Drosophila melanogaster: one gene and its partners. Changing the gene in region 2 together with the main gene of any one other region gives a genetic interaction. Each region holds a gene or a part of one and is shown on either strand. Other genes may lie near its edges.

Region 1 (5,912 bases), on a different chromosome or scaffold from region 2:
TTAAGAACCCAAGGGTTCTTGAACGCGTAAAAACAAATTAACGTTTGAACTTGATTAGTAATTCGGTTTCTGCATTTCAAGCATTTCATTATTGGAATAACTTATAGAATGCTGTAACCTATGGGCGAACGCCACAAGCTCCCAAATTTAACGAATTACTCATGCTACTTGTAATGGAATGTCATAAATATTACAATAAGGATCGGTCTTCGCCAGGCAGATATGTACTGCATGCATTAAGTCTTGTTATCACATGGCTGGCTTTGATGGGCTTGGGAGCTCGCCTTGCCCATATGCTATCGCACCGCACTGTACCTACGCCGGGTATTTACATACATCCATATGTATATGCGAAAAGAGGTGGCAAATAAACACACTACTTATGATATGATTAATCATCAATGAGCGAACCAACCAAACGGTAGAGATCGGCACACATACCAAAGCATAGACTCGTCGCGCACTATGTTGCAGAAGTCCGTTTCGATGGTCTTGATCTTGGAGTTCAGCACAATGCCATCGTCCTGCAGATCAAGGTTCCTCATCAGGGCGATGATGTGGTCGTAGGCATAGCCACCTGTTTGATTTTGATAGGCGGCGGGGCCAGTGTTCAGGATGGTACAAACATCCCGGAGGCGCGCTCCCGTTCCCTCACCACCGCCCCCGCTACCGACACCACTGTGCGAACTGTGACCACTGTCCACCGCACTGTTGTTGTAGCTGTTGTTGCCGTAGGAGGTGGTGTTGCTGCTGCCACCGCCGCCACTGTTGCTGCTGCTGACCATGTTGTTGGCCATTTCCATTTCTCGCCGCGATCACTGCCGTTTGTTGTTGTTATCGCACGGTTGTTTGTCTGTCCCTTCCACACACACTTCAGTGTCTGTTATATTGGTACGCGCGTGTGTGTGAGTCGTCGGTCCACCAAATAAGAATCAGCGTTGACAAAGGTGTCGAAATGCGCACGCCAAATGAAACACCTTTTCGCTCAGCTTCCGCTTTGGGTGCAGGTGCAGTTAGCTCACTGGGACCCACGGTCGATTGAAACGCAAATAACGAACGAAATTAAATGCACAAATTTATAACTATTCCTATTTATTATTGCTATTTGACGACTTTTAAAAGAGGTGGAAAAACATCGATGTGTTGTGTTCTTTAAAACATCGATGTTTCTCCACCTCTAGATAGCATTGTCGCGATATCGAAAGCACACGGTGTGCTTTCGTAAATAGCGCCACAGTGCTCCCGCTGTTATCGATAAGACCACCATGGGGCTAAAGTACGGAGCATAAGTAGCTGGATTTAAGATGGATTGGCAGAATAAAATATGAAATTTATATCCACAGTATATCTTAAGAAGTAGGGTTTAAAAAGTATCCACACATACATATCTTTCTAAAATTTAGGATGAATTTTAGTTTCAGTGGCTGAGTAAGCGTATTTGTAAACATTATTTGTTGTTTCGACTTAAGCCAAGTTAGTTAGCAATTAGTTTGTCGTGGAAATATCTATCAGCTAACAGTTATTGTCTACAATCGATTCTTGACAAATACTGGTGTGGTGAATTCCGCTCATTGGAGCATCGTAAAATCGCCATCAGTCAGCTGTGTTTCGTTGGGCGCGCAAACTGTTCGGCGTGCGTTTATTTGTTGTTCTTTTGTAATAACTATTTTTATGTAGTTATTTGTGCCAAAAATGTTGAACTTAAACTGCGTGATATGCGCCGAATTGTTTGGCCAGGCCGACGAGGTTTTTGCCACAGTTTGTGGTCATATGTTCCACCACAACTGTCTAAATCAATGGCTCGATCGGTAAACAACGCATAAGGATATTTCTGATTCCCGACAATAAAATCAAATATCTTTCGCAGATCAAAGACCTGTCCTCAGTGCCGGAATAAGTGCACTACCCGCAACATATTTAGGGTCTATTTCAATCTGGCCAACTTGGATGTGAGCCACATCGATGTTGGTTCACTGCAGGAGCAGCTGGACAATGCGATGTTGTCCATGAAAATGGTCGAAAAAGAGCGCAACAAGGATGAACAGCAGATTCGGGATCTGAAGGAAACACAAAAGAAGTGCCTGTATGCTTTTGTATACACATTGCCTTAAGTACCAGACTGATGCATTTCTCATTTGCAGCAAAACCATAGCCGGTTTGGAGCAGAAGGTGCAAAAGAAGGATTTTCTCATCAGCAGCTATGTCGAGCAAATTGGCGTCCTCAAGAGTGATGCCCATGTCGTTGATGGGTTGCGCAAGGAAAACAAAACATTGAAATCACAGATCCAGAGTATGGAAGGCATATCGGCTATTCTGGCGGCTGGCTCGGCGGATGCCGACCGCTTGCTCAAGAACGAGGCTGATCCACATGTCCTAGCCAACTGGGTGTCCACTCTCAAGAGGGAGTTGCGACAATGCGAGAGCAAAAAGACGGAGCTCAGGAATGTAGTGAAGGTGGTGCAGAATGATCTGCGAAAGGAGATCGAACTAAAGCGGTATGCTCACAACATTCCAAACGTGGTTTTTATAATTGATATGTGCTCATTCGATTGCAGCAAGCTGGAAGAGCGTGTTTCACACCTGGAGAGCGACCTTTACCAGGCGCAGGAGAAGGTTTGCTGAGCCTTCTTTAACACAATTTCGATTAAACATACTATTATCTTTTCAGCTACAAGCTTTTGAGAACAAGACCGCTTACTTGGACTCACCAAATGCCTCTTGTGGTCTGAACAGCAACATTTTGGCCCTTAAAAGGGAGGAAAGGCGTACCACTATTTCCCCTACAGTTGTGAGTAGACACGAATAAACGAAAATATAAGCTACTAATATTTTGCTGCCCTACAGAAGGAGAATATTAAGCGCATCGAAGAATCCACCTCCCCATATCTCAACATTAAATCCAGCAGCGTCGGGTTGGCGCATCTTCTTAATACTAAGGGTAACATTGGGCTGGCCAAGTCTAAAATATCGCCCATCAAGGGAGTCGGTGGCGGTGTGTCTATGACCAGCGGAACCATACGGAAAACCAGCAGTGATCTCAGTGAAAAGGTAAACGCAATAATTTTGCCGAATTCCACTTAACCATTTAAAAATTCCGTATATTCCCCCAGTATTCAATCTTCAAGAAGCCAAGACTGCTGCTGGGAAGTTCAAGTAGTTCTGCGTTGACGGCCACGACGGGCTCAAATTTTGTCTACAATGGAATGGGCGGTTCTGAGAAGGTTGACCCCTTTGCGCAGCGCGCCGAGGAAGAGGGTCTTTCCACAATCAGATCCTCGACCGCCCTTTCCCGGAATGTCAACCAGCGTCTTAAAGCCGGCTCGCTGCGCAACTTTAACCTGGGCAAATAAGTCCACAGCCATGTGATCATAAGAGACTGCCCCAGTTGGGTATTAGCACGCGATTGGTATTGAGGATTGCCGATTTTGTTAGTTAGCCAATGCATGAATTAAGCAATAGTAATAATTTAGCAGTAAATATATAAAAATACAAAAGGCATATGTGTGTGCGATTAGGCGGCAATTTTTTTCTCCGCCGTGCCCGTCCATTCCTCGCGCAAGTGGACACTACAGCCGAGGTCGCGCAACGCCGCCTTGATGTCCTGCTCCACACTGGGGTGCTCCTTCATTGCCATATTTAGTAGATCCTCAACGCCGAAGGAGATCCAGGTTTCACACTGGTTCCGCGACCGTGACACCATATTGCGGATGGCCCACGCTCCGTTTCGCTGGACTATCTTGTGTTTGGGATGGGCGCGAAGAGCCTCCACGATTACTTCGGCGATGCCGGTATCGAAAAAGGCGGCACTGTGTTCCTGCACTCGGAGTGTCAGAGTAGTCACGCAGGCCAAAGCGGCGGCAACGATGTTTTCATTGGACTGGTGCGTCTCTAGCAATTGCTTTATTATAGGAGCCACGCCCTGCTGTACTATATGTGACTTCACGGAGTCTTGGCCAGCCAGGGCACGTAGCAACTTTAAGGCCTCTCTATTTAGACGCACCTCATCCAAATTCGAACTCATGATCTCGAAGACGGACTTCAGTCCACCAGCCTCGTCGATAGCTGTACAGAGTTCCTGACGCACAGCCAGTGTTCCAATGGTCAGCAGAAGATCAGCCAGAACATTAGGATCCTGATAGGCCGGCAAAAGTTCCACCAAGGTGATGAGCACCTCGCCTGCTATTTGGCGGGCGTGCTCGTGGGCGCATCCAAACTCAACGCGAATGTCATCATCCAGCACTAGGAAGCGGAAGACGGCGGTCAGTTCACGCACCAGGCGGTCCTTCCCTTTCCCTAAAAGGGGCTTCATGAGTTTGAGTGCGGAGGTATTCATGATATTCTGGCGGTTCATTTCATGCATGATGCAGGCCTTCTGCAGCCATTGAAGAGTCAACAGGGTGACTTCTTCACTCTCCACTTTGAGGGCCAGTAACTTGAGAACCACGGCCATCGCCTCGGCATCAAACAGATCCGGCTGCTTGTGGGTCAGGCTGTTGATGGCTTCCAAGGACTTTTTTAACACGGATTCGTTGGGTGACTCAGCAGAGAGCGTCTCCTCCAACAGGGTGATCAGGGCATCGTGGGCTCCATTTTTGCCGGCTAGAACCCTATGGGCTAGCGACTTTTTGCACTCAGCATCCAAGGTGGCCAGCTGTTCCAGCAGCTCCGTTGTTTCCTCCAGTTTTTGGCCAATGTGCTCCTTGATCTTGTCCACCGTTTCGTTGATGACAGGTTGGCCGGTTTGCGGATTGACGGACAGGTCCTTGATAATGTTGGCCAGGTTGATGCCCTGCAATCATTTCATTAAAGTGAATCTACTGGATGACTATGTCGACATTACTTACCTGTGCCTCGAATTGCTTGATGGTCTCTTCTTTCGCCTCCGAAGGAGTCATCGAGAACTCCACAACGTTCTCCTTCACAACATCGTCGAAGGTGTCCTGCGATATAACCTTGGCCATGGCAGTGATTCGTCCAATTTTGGCTATGCCCTCAGCAGCTGCAGCTTTAACTTTTCAAATTTTACTTTGTTCTCTCTGTAACTTCCCACACACACACACACGCCCACACGCAGGCACACAGGCACAGTTCGAATTTAGTGGCTGCGGTCACACTATCGCACTTCGCAGGGCGGTCATACTTCCAGCTGATTTACATTCGATACATATCGTTGTACGGTTTAATAAAACTCACCATTGAACACTCAAAAAAATTGTTGTATTAATACTAACACCGAATTTGATAAAAAATAAATTATAACCTTATTTTATAACTAAAGAAGTGAAAGAAAAGATTTTAGGTTTCTTTATATATGTCCCATCACTGTGGTTGGAAAACGAATGGTAACAATGTATTTCTCGCATATTTTTTATTAACATAAGTCTGTATTTTGGCCGCATGCTTGTGATTTGCACTGTGTATTACATGTAAAAAGACGATTGGCCATTGAAGCGTTTAAAGTTGTTGTACACGATGCATCAGTTGCACTTCCACTTTTTTTCAAGGAAGTGATTTAATTATTATATTTTGAAGCGAATTTAAAATTAAGACGAATTTTATGTTGTATATTTTATCTACACTTGGTGCACCGTGTAACTTCAACTTTTTGATAGAAAGGAAAGATACTTAGATATTTAAATAGAGAGATTGAGAGAGCGGGACACTAATGCATGCACATCCAAAAGAAAAGCACCTCGAATTTATGGCCAGGATAAGCATTATTTGGCCTAGCCGGAAAACTTGCAGTTGGTTGCATCTCATTTCCGCTTTGGCAGCTTGTAGTCGGTTGGCGGATGCAGCTTCAGGTGGTCAAGAAACACGGGCTGTATGTCCGCCCGCCACGAGATCTCCTCGCGAGCCCTAACCGGTCCGTCCTTGCAGGTCAGCCAGTAGGTGCTCATTAGACCCTTACC
Region 2 (9,560 bases):
GTTCATCTATGTAGCTGCTGCCACATCTTCTTCTTGATATTTTTTTGTGTCTGCTTCTTTTTTGTTGGCCCTGCGTTGCCAAGGGTTTCCTTTGTTCCCGTCGGCCGCCCAGCCGCCCACATTGCAGCCCATCCAACACCCCGCCACCGCACTAGGCCACCCAACCAACCAACCACCCATCCACTCTAAGCCAAGTCTGTTGCACTCACAAAAACGACGAACGCGACCCCAAACAAAAAAACAGCAACAGAAGCAACAAGAATAACACGAGGCGCACGGATTTGGCAGGACATTCATTGGAGTCTCGAATACCCTTCAACATCTGGCTGAGAAACATCAAGAGATTTGATCTGCTTATATAAGCTTATATGACACCAACAATTACAGAACAGAATCAGAATAATGTAGTTCTTAGAAAATTGAACATTTTCTATGAGAAATCTGCAGGATTTTCAAATGTCACGTATTAGCGCCGCAAAGCATGCAACAAAATTCGAAAAACTCAAAAACCTGTGTAAATTATTTACTTTTATTTATTTATTTAGAAGCGATGAATCCATAGAATGGTAAATTATTTACTGTAAATAGTTTTGATGTTTATACTTTTAAATTACTTCCTGGAGAAGCAAATGAAATATTTTCACGTTTCTGGCTAAAAACAAGCGGAAGCCATATGATATATTTTGAACCTCAAGGTATTCTGATTTTTTGCGAATGGACACTTGTAAATTACAACAACAACAACAACAACAACAACAACGAGTCTAATGGACACTTTTGCCTCAGTTTTGCTGTTGTTTTTATTTATGCGTGCCGCCCCCTTTCGCCCAGCCCGCCGCCCACTTTTGCTTAGCTGCCCTTCGACAGCAACAAACAAAACAGAACAAGAAAAATGGCAAAAAGAAGGCAAAAGGAAAGCGCCGCTTCTTTTTGTTTGTGTTTTCGCATTATTTGTTTTGCTCGTTTTGTTCGTTGCGTTTTTGGACTCAAGAGTAGGCCTCTCGACTCGAAAGCAAGAGCACTACGCTCTTTTAAAATGCATTTGTTTGCAAGTGCAGGCGAAAGAGAAGCAGAACAAATTCTGATTGGAGATGTTGCTAAAGTTCCTTCCTTTGGCAACATGCTGCTAAAGCGAATGTTGCGCGTTTCTCTGTCAGGATGAAAAAAAAATTGCTAATAAGAAATTCTAAGAAAGTTTCGAAGGAAATGAGGGGGGGGGGAGGCGGGGAACTCAGGTGCTAATTACCAAACAATACTGAGATTTATTTCCCCCCAGCTGAAGTGCTGTCAAAGTTTTGCGTTTTGAATATTACAAACAAAAAATCCCAACACAAATAAATACCATTTTTTACGTTCCCCAACTTACTCGGTACTTTAAGCTCTTGATTATTTTTGCAATCAATTTAACTTTTGCAGCATTTAAAACAAATGACTTATTTTTAAATAAAAGTCTTTCTTTACATCGTTTTTGATTTAATTAGTTGTTAACTTGCATTTTTTTAACATAATCAAATTTAATAATATTAATATTGTTTTGATATATGGAATAAACTGTAAGCTTAATAAATGGTTATTTACGATTGAATAAAAGCGAATACATCCTAAAACTATTTTGTTGGACTTCAACTAACTTAAAGCTTATATAAAAAGATATTGTGTTCATGTTAAATATTTTCTTTTTAAATTAATGTAAGAAATGGATAAACCATAACCAAGCGACCATGCGAATTTTATAAAACGCAACCCACCACCGGGAATTACAGGTCAGGAAAAAGAGCTAGTGAACTACGCCATGTTTTTGTAACTATGATAGAAAATCGTCGGCCATTAAAATGGGAAAACATTGAATACGAATAGTACTGAAGGAGCAGTGAGTTGTTTAAGTAATAATACTACTTACCAAATTATATTTCCTCTCTGATATGATTATGATAAAATCCCATTCAATTGCAAAATTAAGTTATAGACTTGTCGATTTTGCAACATTTTCATAGTAAAGCAATCGCTCTCCATTTTAGTTAATTTTTCTATCATTTCTCGGTGTTCTGAAAGAGGAAAAAATGCATTGAGGTTTTCTATTCCGATATATGTATGTACATATGTACATAGATACATCTATTATTTCAATGACTTATTGTACGAAAACCAAGAGAATTTCATTATATTCTACCACTAAAGAAGTGGCTATACTAGTCTTTCTTTTTCGACTAAATCTTCACTTTGTAGCAGAACTTTAAAACGTCCTTCGATTTGAATGTCTTCTTACACTCTTCACCTCGTCTTCTCTATCAATTTCTTCTCCCCTTTCCCCCCTCACTTTCTATCACATTCCTTTGAAGATCAGCTGTAGCGGTTAGAATTTGGCCATATCGAGCGTAAAAATACATAGAGGAAGGCACTAAAAACAGCTGCAGCTCAAGAGCGAATAAAGGTCGCCCCCGTTCCGCCCTCTCTTGCTCTTTCATCCCCTCTCGCACCAACCCACACACTTTCACACACACACACACACACGTGCACTGCGTAGGGAAAAGCAGCGCAGTTGCAGCAGAAAAACAGATAAACAGCAAAGCAGAAAAGAGGCAGGTTGCTCTCTCTCGCTCTCACTTGTGGGCTGGACTACAGTCGTTGTTGTTGGTTTGGCCAGCCTAAAAACGGAGATCGCACGTGTGTGTGTGTGTTTGTGTGCGGTGTGTGTAATGCTTATGGCTGTCTTGCTGTTGTTGGTTTTGTTGCCCTTTTGCAGTTGGTGTTTGTTTTTATCTCACACTCGCACACACACATGCAACCGGCCTATGCAATCGAACGAATACGAATGGTAAATAGCATGTGTGTGTGCGAGCGAGAGGTTTCGCTTGTTTTTTTTTGTATTTTAGTTTTCTGCCTTCCGCCTTGTGGTTTTTGTTGTTGCTCATTTCGGCTTCTTGTGCGTCCATTGGGCATTGCATTCGAGGTGTGTGGGTGTGAGTGCAAGTGCGCAGTTGTGTGTGTGTGTTCGGACAGCCTCTCTTTTTAAAAACGCATAAATGTTGATTACAGTAAATTGACAATTTGTTGTTGTTGCTATCTCGCTTTTTGGGTTTATGTTTTTGCACGTGTCTGATTGGAATCCTGTACCGGCTCCTTTTAGACTTGTTAAATAACGAAACCTATGTACAATCATTTTTTTAATCATTAATTTGCTATCGAATAATACTAAAGAAATAAAATTTATTTTAATTTGCATGCAATTTTTTTTTATTATAAGTCTTATTGTGATAAAAGTTTTTGGGAAACACATGGTTATGATGTTAAAAAGAACATAAAACCATATTAATAAGTGCTAATATGCAGTTCAAATATCGCTTTATAAAGTGCTGACATAAATGACCAAATTTCTCGAGAATTTTAGATGTATTTACCTTAGGTATGAAGTTAGGTTACATCTGATGAATATTAAAAATGCAAAGCATTGGTTTTAAGCAACGAAAACAAAGATCAAAGTCGTCGATTAAATAAATCCCGACTAAATTTATTGCTTATTCCCGGGAACTTACACTTTTTGTTACTTCTCTTTCGTGTTTCTTTCAACTGGATTTGTCCCGCCAATTTTCCAATCAAAATTTCTGACAGAAAAAAGCTAAGCGCTCCAAAACCTTGGGTTGTAGCGTGCCGAAGAGCTGATTGCTATGAAACACTGTCCTATTTGACAGCCGCTAAGCGCTAGAGTTGTCACCGAAAATGCGTTTTTACTAGTGCGAACAATAAAATTACCTGCGCAAAAATGGAAAAATGGGATAAAAAACAAGATGAGTAGCAAAGAAAATATTTAAAGATATATTTGTACTGAAATTAAACTGAGAAGGAGGTGCAAACGTGTTGCAAAAAAATTGAATTCACATCTAGGCACCCTAGCAACCCTGTCATTTTGACATTGCCGCTCACACGCACGCCACACAGACGCACGTTAGTCACAGCAACGCACACACACACTACCAAACGGCTACATTTTTTTTCGAGTGTGTTCGACATTCATAATTTTTGTGGTGGAGCTGCCTGCAAAATCGAATTTTATCAGTTTGCCAACGAAGTTATCGGCCATAACTGCAAATAAAGTTCAGCAATAACTTGGCGCTGTTACGATGTGAGTTTGTGTTTTATCGAAAGTTGCATACTTTATCTAAAAACCATTGTTTTTGTCCAAAAATGTTGTAAATGCCCGAAAAAATACCAAAGTGAGAACAACAACAACAACAGCAGCAAAAAAAAAGCAGGAGCAGCAGCAGCAGAAGAAGCAGAGGCAGCAGATAAAATTTAATATAATATCGAAGAAGAGCAAGAAAAAAGCCGTAAAAGTTGATAAATCGAATATATATGTGTGTGTGTGTGAAAAATAATAATTGCGGCGTTCGCACCAAGTATTCGCCGTTTTTTTCTATTAACTTAAATTCGCCAAAAAAGCGGCGTTTGCTTTTCTTCTTTTCTTGACTCGCCCTCTTTGTCTCACCCATCCGCATATTCTCTTTTCGCCTTTGTCTTTTTCGTGCGCGTTGTCTGCATTTTGTCTGTGTGCGTGGGTGCGTGACTCGCTGTGTCTGTGTGTGTGCGTATGCAAGCGAAATTGTTGCTTGTAAAAAAGAAAAATCTTATTTGGTTTTTTTTTTGTAGTTTAATTGCCAACATTATTGATTTTTCAAGCGGTTCACCCCGTTTCTCCCCCTCCGCATTCCTCCTGTCCAATCTGCTTCTTCTTCCTCTGCGGAACTACGTGCATTTGTCACCCAAAAGGGAAATCAATAAGTTGGTAAAACAGCGAAACGCCGCACATTATGGTTAAATTATTGCTGTTTTCGCGTTAATAACGCAATTTCTTTTGTTTGCTTCGAGTGTTTTTCGTTGCTGTTGTTGTTGCTTTCGCAATACAATTTCTGGAAATTTTGGGGCATTCATTTATTGCCTTTTGTTTCTGGTTTATCTGCGTCTTTCTTTCCCCTTCTCCTCTTTATTTTACTTGATTTTCCGTGTGTCTGGGAAATGTAAACAGTTAAAGGAGCCGCAAGGTCACGCTAAAGGAGTTGGCAATAGTGGGTGGGCTTTGACTTACACAAGCAGAAATTTATTTTGAACTTCGCAAAAAGTGTAACGGAAATAAATCCAGAAAATATTGAAAATATTGGTTTACAATATAGTCTAGATATCCAGAATCAAGTTAATAACTTTGAATTCCGTTCATATACTTCAATATAAATATTATTAAGTACTACAATTTGAAAACATCTTTAAATATACAACATATTTTGAATTAGTTTATTTTTTTTTTTAGCCACATAGAGACATCTTTGTGGCATGCTAAATTCTGTAGTAAAACTTTCTTGGGGAAAGTGAAAGCCACGTATCAGACCAAAATCCACCCAACCCTGCACACACGCATCCCCATAAAGAACGACCTTGAGCTGCAAAAAGGAAAATTCTCTTTGACTTGCCACGCTCTTCCCCAAGAAAACCAAGTGAAACTCCAATTTACTAATGCTACTATTTCACCGATACATGTAGTTGAGCCCTTATTTAAATTAGTAATTAGTTTAATTTCACAGTTGAAACCACGACTGTAAACATTAGGGATACTAATTTATAGTCTTAATTAACGTTGAGTGGATAGTGGATGATACCGAGGAACTACTTAATTGGTTAACTTCACTCCGATCTCGTTTGCAGCTCAACGAGAAGGTCCAGACTCAACCCGCGTTTCCAGTTCACCGCGTAAAAGGAACCAGCTAAACGATGTCCAGCCTGCCACGTCGCATCATCAAGGAGACTCAACGTTTGATGCAGGAGCCAGTGCCTGGGATCAATGCCATTCCCGATGAGAACAATGCCCGTTACTTCCATGTGATCGTGACCGGACCGAACGATTCGCCCTTCGAGGGCGGCGTGTTCAAGCTGGAGCTGTTCCTACCGGAGGACTATCCAATGTCAGCGCCCAAAGTGCGCTTCATCACGAAGATCTACCATCCGAACATCGATCGTTTGGGCCGCATTTGCCTCGACGTGCTGAAGGACAAGTGGAGTCCAGCCCTGCAGATCCGGACCATATTGCTATCCATTCAGGCACTGCTCAGTGCACCCAATCCCGACGATCCGCTGGCCAACGATGTGGCTGAGTTGTGGAAGGTCAACGAGGCGGAGGCCATTCGCAATGCCCGCGAGTGGACCCAGAAATATGCCGTCGAAGACTGAACGCCCGAGGTCAGGAGGAAAGTCAGAAAGCGGATCCGTCAGTTGTATCGGCGTTTTTCCAGAAAGTGGGTGCGTGACATGAACGGGCGGGTGGGTAAATTGAATACTTTAAAAGCAACCAGAAAAACCTAAAACATACGAAAGAAAACATAAAATAAGAAAAAAGTAAGGAAGCAAACATAAAAAAAAACGATTTAAGAACACATTTTTTTTTCGAACCTTCTGGGGCGGGATATACATATAAAATATTAATATATATATTTTTTTCAACCAATCGATCGGGGCGATCGGCGAAATGGAGGAGAGATAGCGAAAGCATTCTTTATGTAAGACGTATACATGTATCCGAAACAAACTAAAAACGAAAAAAAAAAAAAAAAAAAAAAACAGTAATTGGTTTTAGTCGTTTCTATTGATTTGTTCGAGGGTTCTGGTGTCTATATACATATAGCCGTATATAATTCTATGTGTAACTGAAATAACCAACCCATAACCATTAACACATGTAGCATCAGATATGATAAATCAATTGGAAAGGCAAACAAGAAGGGATTTTGATTTCCTTTAACTCGTCATTTGAAAACTCGGCTTAAATGTCAATTCAAAATAGAGAATTTTGATTGTATCATTTTCAGTGTTTCAGAAAATTTAAGATGTGATCGTCCAACTTGTAGACTTTACTTTTCTTAACTAAGAGTTCACCATTTCGATTGATACTTGAGCTTTGCCTGGGTTGTGTCAGAGTCCCTTTGATAAACGATAAATAGTTTTTACTCGAAAACAATTTTTTTTAACCAAACAATGAAGCCTTTAAGCTATTAGTAATTTTTGAAAAAAAAAAAAATAAAAAATATATATATAAAAAATATACAAAAATATGATACATGATCAAAATACAATGAATGCATACACTATATATTTATACAAAAAAAATACAAAAAGAAAAACAAAAGTAGTGGCTTGATTGCGTGAAAATTTCAAGTGCAGTTCTCAACAAAAATTGTGTACAGTAATTAAATGTTTGTCACCGAAATCACTAAAGGATAATCCAAAAAACAATAGCAACCGAAAAGCAACCATAAATCAAAGAGTAAGCGAAAATAAAAATTCAGTTTTCTTTAATTTTAATTAATTTTTTTCTAAGAAAAATAAATAAAAACGAAAAATTCAAATAAAAATTATAAAAAATAAACCGAGTTGTGTTTTATTTAAATAGTTAAGTGGTAATATAACTGAATGGTAAGTTTATTAATTAATTTAAGTGTTAAAAAATTACTGAATTTATAGGATTTTGATTTGGATACTATTTATAAATAGTATCAGCCGATGCTGCCTTGTCGAAACAATGACATTTGATTTGTTTTTGGCCCAACTGACACATAAAATATCGTATGCATAACATATTATGAAATAAAAGAACTAATACTTATTATGCCAGCCGAACATAAAACGAATTTTCGAGTCTAGAGTTCCCATCTGGAAGGGCATGACAGAGTCCTGGCAGGCCTTTTAGCACGTGTCAAAAACTCAAAGAAGAAGACGATGACTTTGAAGTCTACAAATCATATTTCTCTGAACAAGTGAACTGGCAACATGTCGAGCTCGTAAGTAACTAGGTTTTTCCTATAGAAATTATAGCAAGTCACAGTAAAATCTTGTAGCCAGAACAACAACAGCAGCTGGATCGATTGGTTCCTCGGGATCAAGGGCAACCAGTTCCTCTGCCGCGTGCCCACCGACTACGTGCAGGATACGTTCAACCAGATGGGCTTGGAGTATTTCAGCGAGATACTGGACGTGATCCTGAAGCCGGTGATCGATAGTTCCTCTGGCTTGTTGTACGGCGATGAAAAGAAGTGGTACGGCATGATTCACGCCCGATACATCAGGTCAGAGCGTGGCCTGATTGCTATGCACCGAAAATATATGCGAGGAGATTTTGGATCGTGTCCCAATATCTCCTGTGATAGGCAGAACACCCTGCCAGTGGGCGTCAGCGCTGTATGGGGCAAGTCAACCGTCAAGATCCACTGCCCACGGTGTAAAAGCAACTTTCATCCGAAGTCTGATACACAGCTGGACGGAGCGATGTTCGGGCCCAGCTTCCCGGACATCTTCTTCTCGATGCTGCCGAACTTGACATCGCCCCTGGACGACCCACGGTAAGTAATTCTCCGAATATAGTCCTGGTTGTTTTCTAAACAAAGCGCTTGCACTTGCAGTACCTAGGCTTTCGGTTGCACCAAAGAGCTTTGACGCAACTCAAATCGCCCAAGCCAAAGAATATAATATAATTAATTTTTTTCTAAAAAAAATAAATAAAAACGAATGATTCAAATTAAAATTAAAGATAAATCGAGTTGACTTTTATTTAAATTGGTAGTGTAACTGATTGGTAAGTTTATTCAATTTTATGTTTAACAAGAGAGAATGCTATAGTCGTACAGATATAGTCGTATATGGAATTCCGCGACTATCAGATACCCGGTACTCATCTAGTGTGTACGGATTATGAGCGGAGTCACCCGGTGCTTCAGCTGTCTTAACAGCGGATTAACATTTTATATATCGATGCTAATTGAACTGAACTGTATTCTTTCTTTCTCTCTTGTAATTTTGCGGTCATAGCGATCAGACGTGATTTTTGTATATGAAAAAATAAATGAAGTTAAATAGTGTATATATGATTCTTATTTGCGAACCCCATTACAATGATGTCAAAGCAGTGAGGCATCACAACTATTCATTGGTGGCCCATGAGGGGAACCTTGCTCATAAGAATCATAATTAATAATTGCTAAAAGCTGTTTGGCAATTTTATCTTCGTGGTCGGCTTCATCCAGATAAATCACCGTGCCTACGTTTTCTATCGCGCTCGCTCTCATCACGACAGAGCAGTATACGCAAACATTCGCGCTCGCTCTCATCACGACAGAGCTAAGTCCCGTTGCCCTTCGATTCCGTTAGATTTGCCGGAATCTCTGCCAACTCAAAAAACAAGACGTCAAAGAAGAACACCGATAACATACGAGCATTTGTGCATTACATACAGTGGAGCAACGTCAGTATAAACAATGTCGAAATTTGATCAACTGGTGCGAGTTCAAACTGACCGCATTGAGTCTTTGAAGCGCTTGTTCAGTAATGTGAAAAAAGACTCGAGTGCGCGGAAAACGGAAATATATTTCGAAAAACGTTTGAATCAAATCGACGAGTTTAACAAAGAATTTCATCAGGCGCATCACACACTTATATGCATGGCAGACTACGAAGAAAGTGTGTATAAGCAACAAAATACAATCAGCCAATTCGAAGACCTGGGCATGGAAGTTTACTGTTTCGTGGCC
Region 3 (6,361 bases), on a different chromosome or scaffold from region 2:
ATATGCATACACATTTCAAGTACAACCTCAAGAATTTATCAATTCCAAGCACATGTTTCGTTTTACAAAACAAAAGCACAGACACAATTGCCATTGTTTTCCACTCCACTTTCGAATTAATCATTAAAAAGGGAAATTGCTTTCAGAAGATAGCACATAAATAAAACACCGAAAGAAACCTATGGAAATTAAGCATTAAAATTAATTCAAATTTAAATTTTAAAGTATTAGTCTTATATCCACTTTCGTTAAAACATTCTCCTTCGGAAAAAGTGATGTTTGACAGCTCTGTTAGCGGGTGTCAAATATTTAATTCAATTTACGAGTATTTTGCTGACGCCTTTTATACTCCGTTTAGCACTTGATTAATCAATTCTGCATATGTTTTGAGTTTGCTTTCGACCTGGCACACTCTCACTCGTTTTTCATTTATTCATTTCGGGTCTTTTGGGCCCGTTTCTGATCTCGGTCTTGACGTTACGCACCTGGCCCATATTTGTACTGGCTGCTACAGGCCGTGAGTTGGAGGGCAAGAGCCGCAAAGAACCGGAGAGCACGCATCGCACGGAATTTTGATGAACTAACTTTCGACTGGTCGGGGCGTTACGAAGTCTACGGATCGACTAAGCCGCATTTCGCAGTTGGAGGCTTATTTATACGAGCCCGGTAAGACAGGGACCGAAAATGCGAGTCGAATTATAAAAAAACACTGAGACAATAAATTAAAACCCGTCCCTGTATTATAAAGCTTCTAAATACACCTACCAACCGGAATTTCGGGATGAAAGAAAGGCATTTATGCCCTTATTCAAATTATGCAGCCAGCACAGCTTAGATTAAAATGATGTTCTCCAAAAATCAGGTTCGTTGCATTGGTCATTTGCATAATATCTTGCATCGCAGTAGGAGATGATGTAATTAGTGGATGCATCGAAGCAGCCTAATTCATTCTGCGATCTAAAGTTCATTAACCGTGCCAAACACCGGATACTGATAAATATCTCCAATACACTAATTTGTAACGTTAATTTGAATTAAGTTGCTTTTGATTTTTTTTATAAACGAGTTGCACTTATTTTGTCTACCAGTTATTTGACTTTTTTAAGAAAAGTAATAATCTTCAATTTTATTTCTGCTAAACAGGTTTCAAATACCCTGAGTTGTACAATGTTAAATTTTAAGTTTTGAATAACATTCTGGGTAAGCAAAATAGTTTTGTATACCTACATTATTATTAAATTTGGTATGAACATATTTATTGAACGGAAGGAAAACTGTCTAAAATTCGACTTATTTGTTTTATAAGGCATCATTGTTGGTCATTTTCATTTCTATACGACATTTTCCTAATCTAACATTTTAATTTTGGAGAAAAAGTGCAAAATAATAATTTATAATTTTGAATAATAACATTAAGCAGTTCATTTTAGACATGGATCGATTTTCAATAATAAATCTCAGGACTTATATACATTTTCGAGACAAAATATAGGGGGAAGAATATAATTAAAATGCAGTTCTATATATCTGCTATTTGAATGCCGCGCCAGATATCGATATAATTGAAGTGCTGTAAAGCGTAGCAAGGAAGTGATGCTAAACGCATCACGCGCTAAGGCACTTTTGGGTATTAGTCGAAAGTGACTTTCTCACAAGTTGGCAGTTCCATTCCAATTGTTGTAAAAACCTAGCTAAAATTTCAGTTTTGCGAACATTCCGCCTACTTAAATCAACAAATTTCAGATTGCGAAACGCGTAAAAAGTGCGAAGGAAATGCTCTAAGATCAAGGTCACCGGCGAAGGTCACCAACGACAGCTAGGGCAACCACAAAAGGTGTGTGGCTGTGCAGCAAACAAAGGGAATGCGAATTGCAAACATTCCGACAAACAGACAAACTAACAAACAAGCACGAATATAGAATATAGAATCAAGAACCTGGCTGAGACGCATAAAAGCGAATGTGATATAAGTGGGCCACGGGGCTAATTCGATTGTCTGTCTCTCCAGGAACAACTTGTCTCCAGCGATAACTCGAAGGTCATCAAAGTGTCTGCCTACGAAAGCATGGACTTACAGCATATGGAGAATGGTCTAAGCGGCGGGGGAGGAGGTGGCCTAAGCGAAATAGATTTCCAAAGGCTGGCCCAGATTATAGCCACCAGCATCCAGAAGGTGCAGCAGAATGGTGAGTGGCGTCGAAGCACTTGCCAACTTTCGCCTATGACTAATCTAGGTTTCTGTCTCTTTCGCAGTGTCCACGATGCAGCGCATGGTCAATCAACTGAACACGCCCCAAGATTCTCCGGAGCTCAAGAAGCAGCTGTAAGATGATTATCATTACGATCTCTTCGTTTGGAATTTAAACTGTCCCCATAGATAGAACCCATTGCAGATATACATCGATTATTCGAATATCTCTCAGACAAATCATAAATTCTAAAGACATAGTGAAGATCTCTATTGGGTGTTTACTCACAATGTCTAAAAATCTTCTTAAGCCAATACAGCCTTTTAATACATTTTGCGCACATCAACCGACCACATAAACCAACAGCAAAATAACATTGTAGTCAGTCATTGGTTTTGAAAGTTTAAACGTATCAGCACAGTGTGATTCACAAATCAAATCAATGTATAACGCACGATAAAAATAACAATCCCTTACTCCACAGCCACCAAATAATGACCTACACCAACCAGCTGGTGACCGACACAAACAATCAAATCAACGAGGTGGACAAGTGCAAGGAGCGCCACCTGAAGATCCAGCGGGATAGGCTCGTGGACGAGTTCACGGCGGCACTGACCGCCTTCCAGGTTTGTTTTTGTTCTCCCAGATAAGCAAATGGTTTTGTGAGTCATGCTGATTGTTTATCATTGGTATTTTTAGTCTGTTCAGCGCAAGACGGCGGACATAGAGAAGACGGCGTTGCGGCAGGCGCGCGGAGATAGCTACAACATCGCCCGTCCACCCGGCTCATCGCGTACCGGCAGCTCCAACAGTAGCGCCAGCCAGCAGGACAACAACTCCTTCTTCGAGGACAACTTCTTCAATCGCAAATCAAACCAGCAACAGATGCAGACTCAGATGGAGGAGCAGGCGGACCTGCAGGCCCTCGAGGAACAGGAGCAGGTCATACGGGAGTTGGAGAACAACATCGTGGGCGTGAACGAGATATACAAGAAGCTTGGCGCCCTGGTCTACGAGCAGGGACTGACGGTGGACTCCATCGAGTCGCAGGTGGAACAGACTAGCATTTTTGTCTCGCAGGGCACGGAAAATCTGCGCAAGGCGAGCTCTTACAGGGTAAGTGCCGCCCCTACAAGGTTATTATTTTAAATAATTTAAATATGTTGTTTATTAGAACAAAGTGCGCAAGAAGAAGCTTATTTTGGTGGGCATCCTGAGCGCCGTGCTGCTGGCCATCATCTTGATACTCGTTTTTCAGTTCAAGAATTAGAGCCTTCCGGCATCTCCGAATGATTCAAACCAAACTAGTAAATTGTTGTGAAAAGACAAGAGTTGCCGCATGCAGGCCCCTAAACCCCGTAATTCCCCACCCAATCCTTTGGACCTTAGGCGAGATTATGGCTTTAATCCTTAATCCAACTTCCAATACTGGCTGAAATCGAAAACTGCGACTCGTAGACGAAGATATAGTGTTTTGAGGAGTATTCACCGGCACGTGCATCTGTTATATTTGCTTTAAAAACAATTTTATATTTTATGTGTACTACTTTTATTATTACGCACCCTGTATATTGATTATTAGTATTGATTAACAACTGTTGGCTTCAAATTCTAATTATGTTCCGAAACTCATTCGCCAGCGCTTTGTATTGTATTGTATTGTATTTAGAGTTAAGAGGCAGAGGAAGCCATATATGCGATGGCATACACACATGTACGAAAAATGAAATAATAAACATGAAAATCGATCCTGCGTGCGTTGAAAACACTTGGAGCACTTCATTTAGGGCCCGACCTGAATGAATCAATGAATGGAACTCGCCAGCTCTTCTGGGCATTCGGAGAAGTGCATGGTCATCGACTCCTCCTTGGCTTAGCGATCATTAAGATTTCGTGTTGGCCATTGTTACGCATGCTTTAGCGGCTTAGGAGCTCCCATCTCCCGACTCCCAACCCGATCTCGATCCCAAAACATTGGTACCAATCCGACTATGTGTTCAGCGAGCGCACACTCTCCGATGGCACATTAATGCCGCGACAGACCTGGATGCGGTGGACCCACTTCAGCTTGCTGCATCGTTGAGGTGTGTCAGCCGGGGCTAAAGGGTTTCCTCGTCGCCGGACCCCATCTTCCTCCACATTTGAAATTCCAGCTCCGCAGGCCTGCATACAAATTGAGTTTAAATTTTTTGCCAATTCACTGACATTGATAGTTCGTTTGGGCATCATTTGTGTGGTGGCTTCTTATCCACTTGTTGGCATCGAGTGGTTTTCTCGCATGCATTTAAGTGCAGCTCATTTCCTTCTCGAACTCGCCCCGGGGCTCGCCAACAATCATTTCCCGCCAAGTCATCCAGTTTTTTCTGGCCCAAGTCGTTTCGGATCTCTGCCCTGTGGTTCGCGGGGTATATTGAATCATTCAGGAGAGTGGATTAGGTATTTCAAATGGGGAAAAGTGTGTTATTTTCAAACTAAAAGGTGAGTAATTACTATTATAATTGTGGTAATGATATATAATTTATAATGTTATTTATTAAATCGCTGTAATATTTTCATGTTAATAATTGGCCTAATCTGATTCTTAGATATATTTGCTGGTAAATTTAATTCTTTTACCTAAAATCGTAACTATTATTGAGTTTAATTTTCAAAATATTTCTGAGTTCGCAGAGTATCTGAAAATGCCCCTGAGGGAATTCTTACCCATTTTCTGGTTGTTTCTTTTGGTCCGCTTGGCTGTCAGTGGTTGTCCAAATACGTCACCGAGCTGCCCGACCAAGTCGACTGGGAATTATTGATTACTCGTCCGTGGGGCCAAGGGTTAGGCCCCGATTGTTGCACGGGCATCACGGCCTAATCACATCGATTATGACTACATGCGGCACTTGGCAGGTTGGGCAGTGGACAAACCGGGACCAAATCCCGACCCGGGGCCATGGGTCACGTTGTGAGCTCGAGTGGCGGAGGTGTTGGAAATTAAGAGAAACTATGCACACCTACATGGCCCACGGAAACACAGCAGGTAGTCAGTCGTCCGGCTGTCTTGGCCAAAAGGCTGCTGTTTGCATAGGCCGTAGTCGCTAAACCTGGAACCATGACAATATTGACATCTTCGGTGGTCGACGGACATAGCCACCGAATCTCATTTGCAAAGTCATTTTGTCCAAATAAATCCAGCCTCCGTCTTTGGTGATTTTCCCAGCATAATAATGTGCGACCGAACACAAGCCGCATGTTTTGACTTTGGATGGCAGTGGAACGTAGAATGGCCAGTGGAAATTCCGGAACTTGGTAAGCGCTGGATTGACTTACCAACTTGCTAGCCAGGATTTTGAAATTTCTGGTCCTGGGAAAATTGCAGTTTAGAGGGGAAAACTGTGAAATGGCAATCGCGCATCTTCCGGCTCCTAAACCCCGATAATCCCTGCACATTTCGCACGTTGCTTTGCAATCAGTTCCCTTCTACGTACATATAACTCTGATGATTGTAGCAATGATGAGGTTGTTGTGCGTGGTGGATAAACATCCGGTTTATGGCATTTCCCAAATCAATAAACTTATTATTATCCCATTTCCAACTCTACCAACGCTACCGCGCCTCCCATTTTATTTGGAAAAATTCTTAATTACGCGTTCTTATGAATGGAAGACGTAGTGGCTCGATTCTTCTGCTCTTACAGCATCTTAAGTGGAAATACTTGCCGTGGAGGGCTGTAAATCTTTTGAATTTTTATTAAAAACAAAAATACCAAATCAAAAGTTTCGTTTGATTGTTCCGTTTTCACCTGTTAAGGGGGCAGCGGGGGGTACAGCACCTGATGCCCAACACTTTCGACAGTTTTATTAATGAAATTCGCAGAAAAAGCTTCCCACAGATGTGCTGCCTCTCTTTTTCACTCGCCGTGGTTTTCCACCATGTCAGTTTTTCCGTCATACAGAACAAAAAATAATTCCTCTTTATAAAAAGGAATAATATACCTAAGTTAAGGAATAATTTACATCTGTAATTCTACCAAAAAGTGTCCAGAAATAAAATGTTGTATAAATCTAACATGAATAATATAACTTGTGCGCTTCAATTAAACTCTTCACTTCGCTGCATATAAAATAAGTGAATAAGTCGATGTAAGACTAAATATGCATTTTCCTGTGTAGCTGCGAATTGATGA

What was found. Genes that interact genetically often act in the same process or in processes that back each other up.
Region 1: of ben (region 2) and nopo, changing one suppresses a phenotype caused by changing the other (phenotypic suppression), as found in Drosophila melanogaster (one study listed by BioGRID).
Region 3: of ben (region 2) and Syx7, changing one suppresses a phenotype caused by changing the other (phenotypic suppression), as found in Drosophila melanogaster (one study listed by BioGRID).

What each region holds. Positions count from the first base shown.
Region 1 is NT_033778.4:18,179,030-18,184,941, forward strand, and holds nopo (no poles), read left to right. Parts: upstream 1-1,587; 5' UTR 1,588-1,692; coding exon 1,693-1,808; intron 1,809-1,867; coding exon 1,868-2,083; intron 2,084-2,141; coding exon 2,142-2,495; intron 2,496-2,555; coding exon 2,556-2,613; intron 2,614-2,668; coding exon 2,669-2,788; intron 2,789-2,844; coding exon 2,845-3,048; intron 3,049-3,110; coding exon 3,111-3,350; 3' UTR 3,351-3,490; downstream 3,491-5,912. Other genes in the region: CG5726 (uncharacterized protein), read right to left, coding at 442-803; CG5721 (uncharacterized protein), read right to left, coding at 3,512-4,789, 4,845-4,961; CG33958 (uncharacterized protein), read right to left, coding at 5,757-5,912.
Region 2 is NC_004354.4:13,992,404-14,001,963, forward strand, and holds ben (bendless), read left to right. Parts: upstream 1-3,941; 5' UTR 3,942-4,120; intron 4,121-4,212; exon of another isoform or gene 4,213-4,394; intron 4,395-5,691; 5' UTR 5,692-5,757; coding exon 5,758-6,213; 3' UTR 6,214-7,402; downstream 7,403-9,560. Other genes in the region: Ste12DOR (stellate 12D orphon), read left to right, coding at 7,807-7,817, 7,875-8,375, 8,436-8,442. UniProt on the Drosophila melanogaster protein: Catalyzes the covalent attachment of ubiquitin to other proteins.
Region 3 is NT_037436.4:21,444,190-21,450,550, forward strand, and holds Syx7 (syntaxin 7), read left to right. Parts: upstream 1-1,644; 5' UTR 1,645-1,834; intron 1,835-1,971; 5' UTR 1,972-2,065; coding exon 2,066-2,186; intron 2,187-2,253; coding exon 2,254-2,323; intron 2,324-2,673; coding exon 2,674-2,818; intron 2,819-2,891; coding exon 2,892-3,308; intron 3,309-3,366; coding exon 3,367-3,462; 3' UTR 3,463-3,939; downstream 3,940-6,361. Other genes in the region: Alp1 (alkaline phosphatase 1), read right to left, coding at 486-561.